3 linked regions of the Drosophila melanogaster genome follow. The protein of the gene in region 3 interacts with the protein of the main gene of each other region in a pairwise test. Each region holds a gene or a part of one and is shown on either strand. Other genes may lie near its edges. The genes, in order: Lcp2, RAF2 and CG15209.

Region 1 (3,649 bases), on a different chromosome or scaffold from region 3:
TTCCGTTAAGTCAATATGAACATTCCCGTGGAGTTTGACATATACAATGTATACGATTCTTACTTATACAATCACTATTAAACACTTAAGTTACAATATCATAATATAATCAAAAATCCGAAAGCACAGCAATTTGATTGATATTTCTCCAAAAATCACTACAAGATCTTATAACCGTGTAACCTCAGGGAAGTCTGTGTTATTTTTTGTTACGTGTATGACTATTTAAAAAAGGTTAAAAAAAAGATGAAGAATTTGATTTTTACATCTAGGCTTATAATGCCAATTTCAGTTATATTCATAAAAAGACCAATATAAAAACAAAAATTCGACTCGGCTAGTGATAATGATGATGAATATACATACTTTTTAGGTTCGAAAACGCTTCATAATACCCTTAATACCCATAATACCGACATGCGTTCTAACAATTCAAGTGTACCCTTATCCTCTACAAATAATAGATATAAAAAAGTTCCTCGTCGTTTTCATCATACTGCGATCTTATCTGGGATGCATCAGGTTGGCAACATTTAATTACTTGTGGCTGCCTATGAACTTAACTTAAAATAATAACTAGTTATAACCCAGTTTTCGGAAATATGAAATTAATGCAAGGAGATATCGGCTTGTCCAGGTAAGATTTTTGTAATGTTTACATTTATTTTAGATGCTTTAAAGATTTTTGTATTTAAATTAATTTCGTACTATACTATAACAACACAATTGTAATTTAATGAAGGCCAAAGTGTCTTTGATTACTTTTAATCTTCTAATTGTACCTTCTTATACCATATAATACCGGGAGCCTTCTCTTAAATCGAACTGTCAGATTTGTAAAACATGCACTTGGTTTATATTGCAAGGTTTAATTTATTTTCGAATTCGATAACATTTTCCTTAAATTTAAAACAACTGGTAAGAAATTATCCAAACTCAACCTAGCTGTCTCCAATCTTTCATGTTCCTAGTCGGCGGGTTCACTTAGTTCTTGCTGGGGTTAGCCTCGATGTAGGCGATAGCCTTCAGGATGGCAGCTGGGATCGGAGGAGGAGTGGGCAGCAGGTCACTCTGGGGCTGGTATCCGTTCTCGTCAGCCTTGTAGCTCACTCGCACATGGACACCCTCGGGGGAGATCCACTCGAAGACTCCGTCGATGTTGCCGTGGATGTCTCCGGTGGCGGAGGAGGCAGATCCGTCGTCGAGGACCAACTTGCTGACAAAGCCATCGGGCTGGACATCGTTGACCAGCTCCTTGACCTCCACATTAGCGTTGGCGGCCACCAGGGCGGCGAGAGAACAGACAAGCAGCTAGGATAATCCAGGATTAGACTGCGAAGTCACTATGCTCCTCAAGGCATACTTACGATCTTGAACATTTTGATTTGGGTGGATTGTCGGACTAGAAATCTTCTAAGACTGATGACAATCTATGCTCAAATCGGTGTTTATATATCATCAAAAGCTGATGCAATGTGCGTATTATAATTAAGTCAATGTGATGCATATAATAAAAACCGTCTGGGATGCAAATTAGTCGACTTGAGATGGCTTAACCACTTTCATTAGGAGATGAGCATTCTTAGTTATTTATTCAACTGAAATATTCGCCCTAGTCTAACCGAAATGCAAAGCAAACCGGACCAGAAACCAGAATAATTATTAAGCAGTACAATATTTAATTTTCTAAAATTCAACTTCAATATGAACTAAACTTAAGCATAGCATAGTTTTCGGTGTTTCATTTGGTGTGTGGCACGTTGACAACTCTGGCCAAAAGCTTTGCGGGTTTTTTTAAATTAAACAGTGACATCCAAAATATTGAGATACAACAAAATGTCATAGGCAACTAGCACGTTAATATGCAGTATCACTTGCGAAATCGTTTATTCCGGTATATTGTTTATTACCACTTCGGAACCTTTTAAAATAGATGGGACTGCTATCAAGTGAAGTGTATTGGGTTTTTTGATTTTGTACAGGCATGATTGATAAAGACTTGGTCAACTCGAAACGTCATCGATGAGCACAGAATCCGAAAACCGTACTCCATCGCCCCTACAAAATTTCTACCGAAGCATGTTTCATTTCGGAATCTGTTCAGCAGCGCAAGACTTGTTTTTTGACATTTGTATCGCAGAGTCAAGTGGAGAATTTATGGGCCCTGCCTTTTGTTGGCATCATGGGCGTTTCGTGATAACTTAGATTTGGCCCAAAAAGTAATAAGCAATTCGTTTGGAAAGCAACCAAATTGGGAATCATATAAAAAGACTCTGTCGACCAAAGTCAGTTATCAGTCAACGTTCGTTCTCGACCAGACAGAAATCAGCCAACATGTTCAAGTTTGTGAGTGGCTCACAGGACATTTATGAACTCGCCATCTAATTGGTATCATTTCCTCTATCCAGGTGATGATTCTCGCCGTTGTGGGAGTGGCTACCGCCCTAGCCCCAGTTTCCCGCTCCGATGATGTACACGCTGATGTCCTTTCCCGATCGGACGACGTTCGTGCCGACGGATTCGACTCCAGCCTGCACACCTCAAACGGAATCGAGCAGGCCGCCAGCGGTGATGCCCATGGCAACATCCACGGCAACTTCGGCTGGATCTCACCCGAGGGCGAGCACGTTGAGGTAAAGTACGTCGCGAATGAAAACGGATACCAGCCCTCGGGAGCCTGGATCCCCACTCCTCCTCCAATCCCAGAGGCCATCGCCCGCGCCGTTGCCTGGCTGGAGTCTCACCCCCCAGCACCCGAGCACCCCCGTCATCACTAGGACTCGTCACCCGGATCCCGGACCACTCCACGGACTGTTCTCCCGAAACAAATCGCCCAAGTTGTTTAGCTGTACTTCTTGACTTTCAAAAAAATACATGCACTTGCTTATAGCAGTAAAAATGTGTGTGTTCTTCATTGCACTTTTTAGGTAGTTCCTGTAATAATACGAGCTTTTATACCTCTACCTTCGCTGGGAATGCTTCCTTCTACCTTTTATATTCGATTCACTAAATCCATTTATCAAAAATGAGTATATGTGTCCATAAAGAAAAGATGTGCTGAATTAAAAATTAATTTTGTCTTTTAAAATTTGAGAAGGATCTGGGCAGTCTAAAAGATCTGAAAAACAAAAAAGCAAATGTTTGCATACAATTTTATTCTCACTAAAAGTCTCAATGCATTTTTTTTTTATTTTAAGTAGTATTTAAAAGCCAATTAGAGAAGCCAATACCAATGGACAAACTTATTGAAATAGAAAAGCAATGGTCAATGCCACACGAGCCGATTACCCTAGTATATACTCGTAGTACTAATCCCGTGGATTGCCATGCGATGCTTTTTAATGGGTGTGGGGTATCTTCATAGTCAACCCAGATTTCAGAGCACCAATCGTATGAAAGATGTAGCGTATTGACTTGGGTTCAGTTTTGGTGGTTATCAGTCAACGTTCGTTCTCGAGCAAACAGAAATTGGAATCTAAAATGTTCATGCTCGTGAGTAACGGCAGGATACGAACGTATTCAATGTCTATGCTCTCGTTCACGTGGTGATCTGTGCAGTTTTTGGATTGAGTGGCTCATCCCCCATCCCCCATCCGTAGGACGTTTCGAAAGTGACAACGCCGATGTCCACTACCAATCATACGATGTT
Region 2 (3,760 bases), on a different chromosome or scaffold from region 3:
TTACATTTTGTACATGGAGATGTTTTAAAAAAGTACTAAAGTTTTACGACCGTTTTAATTATGAGTAAAAACGACAACTTTAAAACTTTAAACTAATTAAATCATTTCATTAAGGCGTTTAGCTATTCATATTTCTTATTAAATAATACTTGGCTTCGGATATTTTAGATATTTCAATTTAAGCAAATTTAAATAAGTTTCGAAACGATTTTCGGATTTTAAATAAACTAAAGTAATAGGTATTATATATTGAGATTATTATTTAAATGATCATGATTTACTTAAATTATGATTTAAAACATGTCAGCGGATAAAGTTTATCAAAGAAGTTTTTATTTGTATTTCTACAAAGTTATAAACAATGGTTGTAAAACGACCAATGATAAAGGTCAATCTTTTGTTTTGACACGTAATATAAAACTGGGACTGCATATATTTACATGCACAATGGAACGCACTACGTTTTTGTAATAGAAATGAATGCATTCAGTTGACAAGCACTGCTTTTTTTAAATTTCTTATTTCTTCCTATGATAATGGGATTTAAATCCAATGAAAAAAGGAGTACTTTTCATGCCATTTCTTATGCACACCGCCATTAGCTGAATCAACCGAAAATTCGCCGGGCCGAATTGATTGTATTTTTGATGCACTCAATTGGTGACCCCGACGTTGATTGCTGAACCCATTGTATTGAATTAGTTTACTTTTTCGATCGTCCACTTTACATACAACAAAAGAGTTCTTGTGCACGACCATGCGATTGTGTGCGTGTGAGCATGCATATACGTATGCATGTGCTCAGCTGGCGCACGTGTGCGAGTGTGTGTGTTTGGGAGAGGCGTGGGGTGGCGTGACGTGGTTAACATTTATGGTTATCAGTTCGCGATCTGCAAGGCAATAGCCACCCACAAACGATCAATAAACAAAGTCCTATTTAAAGGTATGTCTATCTGCAGCTGCGCCGTTCTTATCGGTTATTCCCTGTTACGCATATGCACATATATATACAGACACTGTCGGTCGTGCCCTTTGTTTACGAGTGTCACTGGGCGGGAATCGGTTGCTAAACACTGGTCACTACTATATGGTTATCACTCGGCGGCGTCGTGCCCGCCATTTACCTTTTTGGCAATGTTTTTGTGCGAATTGATTTGTTTTCTTTTGTAAGCCAAACGGTATGACCGTTCGAGTGCAATGACGATGACACCGGTGAACAAACGGAAAATCGCCACTTTTGCCTTTAGTATTTTTCAATATTTAATATTTGCCACCAGGGCTGTCAGGTTGCAATGTTGTAAAGGAAATCTGAATAATTTGGCTAACGATCTGCACTACAACTTATAGCTTATTAATGATTGATTTTTGATCTACGCTAACTTTTCCATAAATCAAAAAATGAAACTCTAGTGAGTAACTTATTCTAATATAGTTATTTGGTTTTTAGATATGAAATGACCGAATACCCCGAAACTAGTAATATTTAATAAGATTACTAGATTACTTTAATTTAATAAGATTAAAAATTTGTTTGCTTGGTTTACCTAACTAAGAACTAGTTGGAAGAACATATTTTATTCAGTATTATTTAAAGACTTTCCCAAAAGTGGTTACCCTATTGGTTTGCGTCCATACTAAATGCCTGTCAAAATTATTCGCAGAATTGAACGGCGAATTTTTTTTCGCATTTGGAAATTGGATTTTTGCTGAAAGTAAACGCTTTAAAACTGGTATAAACCCGAATTAGCCTATTTGGGGACTTGGGCCATTGTTTTAAGTGGTTTTCAGCAACTGAAAAGGTGAGCCCGTCGGCGGATTAGAATATTCAACCGGCAGACGATTTTTTGTTGGCCAAAAATTTGCAGACGTGAGCGCGTGAGTTTTTGAGGGGGTTAATGCCAAAAGATGTACATACCTGACCGTCGTCCAGTTGCAGGCCTAATGTCCAACGAGATCTACGACTCCTCCAATTCGCAGCTAAGTAGCGACGAGTATAGCCACGAGGAGGAGGAATACGACGCTCTAATGGACGCGGCGGTGAGCAAGCAACGACCCCAAAAGACAAAATCCAAGGGATCCGAGTCCGAGAAACCCGGAAATGGAGCTCCAGAATCGGCGGCTGCCACTGAGAAAAATGAAAAGCCAGATGACGATGCGGTGCCACCTTCCACGCGCTCAGAAACAATTCGGCGGATCCGGCAATTGCAGTTACAGCGTGGCAGGCTGCCCAATCTTTACTTCAAGCGTCGCAGTATTCGTTGGTAAGGCTTACTTCCCAAAGAACCTACTGAAACTGTAATCCTATCTTATCCGATCACACTTCAGGCTGCGACCCAATAAAATGGACTACAACAGCTATTTTGACGGCCTGAAGGACTTGCTGCCCAAGCGTAAATTGAAGCACCTGGTTCGCTTCCATGACAGGCAGCGCAGAACCTACGACAGCAGGAGCATCAGTCGTAGTCGCAGCCACAGCCGCAGTCTTAGCCGAAGTTGCAGTCGCAGTCGTAGTCGTAGCTATTCTCGCAGCCGCAGCGGCAGTGGTTCGCCGGAACTCATTTGCCTTGACGACACGGAGAACGAGGATTCGCCTGAGAAACCAGAGCAAGAGCCGGCAAGGGTTACGCCCATCAAGGAAAATAAGCCTACGCTTCCGGCTCCACCCCAACTAAACTACGAGCTGCCAGAAAGGAAGAAAGCAAACCCACTTGGAAACAACGAAAACGGTGCCTCTATCCTCGACGAGTTCCTGGTAAAGAAGGATCCCCAGGAACCGGTCTTCGACTACGGTAAACTCTCAGCGTGTCGGGAATTGGAACAGGCTCTAAAGGACCGGTCGCGAGATGCGCCAAATGAGGCAGAGTCGCTTGTGGTTGATGCCACTCTTAAAAGACGCCGTTCGGTAACACCGCCCGCTAGCGAAGAGAAGCGCAACAATGAAGTCGAGGATGATAATATAATTGGGTTTTCAACGGTGCAGCAACAGAAGCCAATGGAGGCAGCTCCACCATTAAATCTAAGAATGCCCACCACTCCATCGACTAATCCTCTTCAGCGTCAGCAGGCTTTTAAGCTGAGCACACCGTATACCCTGGCTCCGCCTACTGCCGCCAAGCAAGCTGACACTTACAGTTTAAATACTCCACCGCCAACGGCCACCCAAATGCAGATATCCTATCCCAACGAAAAGCTGTCAAATAACATGAAAGCTAATGCGACTTTCTCGATTCAACAGACAGCTTTATCCCAAGTCGCTGCATCCTATGCTGCTGCACCACAAGTGGCTGCCCTCGCGCAGAGAGCTCCATCTCAGGTTGCTCCACTACAACAAGCCCCCGTGCAACAGATGCACTTCCCAAGATCAGTTCCACCGCAGCAGCTTCCTCCACCACAGCAGCGAGCTCCTCCACAGCAACTGGCTACAGCTCCATTCGCTCCACCACGGCACCTGGCTCAACATAGACCATCTCCACAGCAGCTAGCTCCATCACAGCAGCTGGCTCCACCACACCAGCTAGCTCCACCACACCAGCTAGCTCCACCACAGCAGCGAGCTCCGCCACAGCAGCTAGCTCCACCACACCAGCTAGCTCCACCACACCAGCTAGCTCCACCACAGCAGCGAGCTCCGCCACAGCAGCTAGCTCCGCCACAGCAGCTAGCTCCACCACAGCAGCTAGCTCCACCACAGCAGCTAGCTCCACCACAGCAGCTAGCTCCACCACAGCAGCGAGCTCCGCCACAGCAGCGAGCTCCGCCA
Region 3 (3,189 bases):
AGATGCACACAAAAGAGAGTCAAGTGGATTGGTTGCTGCTATTGGGTGCCCTTGATAGGGTACCTCCCATAGCTGGCTATGGAGCTATCCTATACAGTGAGTCAGTCAGTTGTGTTTGGCCCACAACACGGTTATCAACGCTGCTGACAGTTCTGGGTTTTTTTTTTTTCTTCTTTTCATTCTCAACCAAAAATGACTAACTAACCAAAGCGGGCTGGCGCACGTGTTTGCAGTCTAATAAAAGCTAACAACGATCAGTCAGTGGAATGTTTTGGCCATTCCATTCGCACGTACATTTATTTTATAAACACTTTATATACATATGTATGTATATATAGCATAGCACATACATATGTATGTAGGTTGCTCGCATGCCAGATGTGAAACCATTAGGAAAATGCAAATAAGACTGACAATTGCGATTTTCCATTTAGAATTTACATTTATCAATACTTACTTCGTCGCACGTTACATGCAACTTGACAATCTCGACTTTTTTTCAATTTCCATTGTCACTCAAGAACGTCGTTACGTGTATTTGTCAAATCGTTATAATTCAACACATAATAGCGCAATATATTTAACAATAATTTCTTTGTTGACACTAATTCGGCATGCACTACAAGTTAGACTATGCTATTGCAATTTGTTTATAAAAAAAAGCTTTTAGCAACGCCTGAAGGCAGGCAAAGTAATTGTAGCAGTGAGTAATTAAATAAGCCCAATTACCGATAAGAATTTAAAACTCTAGACGAGGTATCTCTAGTTGCTTTTCAACTGTATTCCATTAGAATTGTTGCAAATAGAGCAATAATTGTTTGTGTGAAATATGAACATGTAAATGTAGAATAATATCATTCACATTTTGACCAATCAAACAAAGTTCTTAGACCTAAGATTGCCTGACCGATTGGTTCGGTACACAAGGAAACATTGCGACTGATTAACGCGGGGCGCGTCGTCCATTAACCCATATCTACTAGAAATTATTAAAAACTCTCGACCATTACAACTCGTTCAATTGGCTATGAATAAGAGCTGATAAGATTAGGCCAAACCAACATGCAGAAAATAGAAGACGGCGAACCGAGTGAGCACAAACTGCGCAGATAAATTGAATTGGAGGCGGACAGAAAAAATAAAAAAAAAACGTAGCCAACAAAAATACACAATAAAAAACGACGAAATGCGGGATCTACTACATACAAAATACAAAATACAAAAGGCACCAGCCAGACAATTAAATAACATATGTACCAGGGGTCGATGTTGTATAGTGTATAGTATAGTGTATGTGCTGCATATGCAGATAAAATAATTTAACCGACCCTACACACTGACTTTTCAATCAAAAGCAGCCCCCCAAACGACAGTGCTGCGCTTCGTTTCCAGCGTATTGAATTAAATGGAACATTTTTTGCATAACATACAATAAAATATACATTTTAAAAACACTCACTGCTCATCTATTACAAATTTATATAGTTTTAGAAGTAAAAGAATCTATATCCCCGCCTTACTTGCAGTTTAATGGCACCATTGTTTGCCAAAATCCATGGCATTCGAAAGTAACCAAAAAAAATAATAGCCAAATGCTGGAAGAAGAAAGCGAATGTCTTCGCCAGCCAGCACTGCCACACGGGGCGTTCGAGTGAGCGATAGGGAGCCGAGCGAGCGTACGAGCGGGTTGGAAGGCAGATAGAAATTGGAGCGCACCCCGAGAGTCGAGTCCAGGCCACGATCGATCGACATGCGACAGGCGGGCAGCAGTGCCACAGCAAAGCTACTAGCAGTCGGACGTAAACATGAAACCCATTGGGTGCAACAATATTCCGGTCATCTTCCTGGTGATCCTCGGCATGGTCAGCCTGGCCAATTCGCTGCCCATGAATCCCGAACAGGAGCTAAAAGATGTCGACGAGCCATTGGGTCAGCAACGTCAGCATAAACAGCAGCATGTGCAGCAGATGCAGCGCATGGTGAAGAGCGAAGCGGTGCCAGAGTCGGAGTTCGTCGGAAAAATTGCGCCACGCAATGAGCAGAATCCGGAGGATGAATACGATGCCGTCACATTGGTGGAGGAGCTAGAGGCCGCCGGAGTTAAGCTGGCCGATCGACGTGATCTGCGCAAGCTAACCTACACGGAGCTGGCCCGCCTGCTAGCCCTATGGCATCTGTCCCAGAATCGCAATGTTTACAATGCCAAAGGACCGGAGGAGCAGCCCAATCAGGCCATCGATGAGCGTTAATTTAGTTGCTTAATGAGTAAGCTCGTTTATTTAAAGCCAAAGTTCACTTAATATATATATACATATATATATATATATATATTTTGTGTGACAAGAGAAAAAGGCTAGTAGTACGCTCCACGGAGAACGAAGTGGGATGACCCATGCAGATATACATACTATGGCAACTATATGATATTCTCCGACCTGACTTTCTTTAGAACATTATAAGGAGCATTGTAATTCCAGCAGCAATTCTTTCAAATAATAGTTTGCCTCATTTTTAGACTCGTATAGAAATGCAAATAAACTAAACCGTATTATTGTACAGCAAAGTTATTATTTCTTGCAGTGATAGCTAATGGAGAGTAACTAAGGTCAAAACGGCGCTACAAAAAAAAAACAAAAGAAAAAACTACTAAGGTGATGTGTTCAGTTACGCCACTGCCTTGTGTTTCTCCCACTCGATCTCGTCCAGCCGCGGCGGCGCCGTAGCGCTCTCTGTCGTGATGCCGCCAATCTCCGAACTGGTGCCGGTGACCACCAGGAGCGGCATTTGTCGCCGTTGCAAACGTTTGGCTATCGGCGGCACGAAGAGATCGTGCTTGATTAGCGTGCAGTCCGCATCCTGGTAGATGCGTCGATTGTTGTCCCATTTCAGCAGGGCAAACAGCCAGGACAACAGCCATCCGCCAAAGAAGGTTATCAGGAAGCCCAAAGCAGCGTACCACATGTAGCTAATCCTGTACAGGTAAAAGTAATGCTCTTCCTCGGCCACCGCTATCACAGTCTTGAGGAAAATGTCGCGGGCAAAGCTCCTGTCCACCGGACATCCAGCCGTGGACATATCCAAGCTGACCAGCGGTGGCTTCGGTTGTCCGAAACCGATCCAAAAGCAGAACGCCAGCGATATGAGCAGCCCACCAATGGCTCCCTTTTCATTCGCCTTGGTCACATACAT

The links.
Region 1: the proteins of CG15209 (region 3) and Lcp2 interact in a two-hybrid assay, tested with the Drosophila melanogaster proteins (one large-scale study listed by BioGRID).
Region 2: the proteins of CG15209 (region 3) and RAF2 interact in a two-hybrid assay, tested with the Drosophila melanogaster proteins (one large-scale study listed by BioGRID).

The regions. Positions count from the first base shown.
Region 1 is NT_033778.4:8,433,219-8,436,867, reverse strand, and holds Lcp2 (larval cuticle protein 2), read left to right. Parts: upstream 1-2,082; 5' UTR 2,083-2,334; coding exon 2,335-2,346; intron 2,347-2,408; coding exon 2,409-2,777; 3' UTR 2,778-3,071; downstream 3,072-3,649. Other genes in the region: Lcp3 (larval cuticle protein 3), read right to left, coding at 985-1,311, 1,368-1,379. UniProt on the Drosophila melanogaster protein: Component of the larval cuticle.
Region 2 is NT_037436.4:16,384,696-16,388,455, forward strand, and holds the start of RAF2 (RING-associated factor 2), read left to right. Parts: upstream 1-1,631; 5' UTR 1,632-1,875; intron 1,876-1,930; 5' UTR 1,931-1,941; coding exon 1,942-2,261; intron 2,262-2,325; coding exon 2,326-3,760. Other genes in the region: Agpat3 (1-Acylglycerol-3-phosphate O-acyltransferase 3), read right to left, coding at 733-759.
Region 3 is NC_004354.4:10,840,441-10,843,629, forward strand, and holds CG15209 (uncharacterized protein), read left to right. Parts: upstream 1-1,764; 5' UTR 1,765-1,805; coding exon 1,806-2,249; 3' UTR 2,250-2,555; downstream 2,556-3,189. Other genes in the region: CG32669 (uncharacterized protein), read right to left, coding at 2,665-3,189.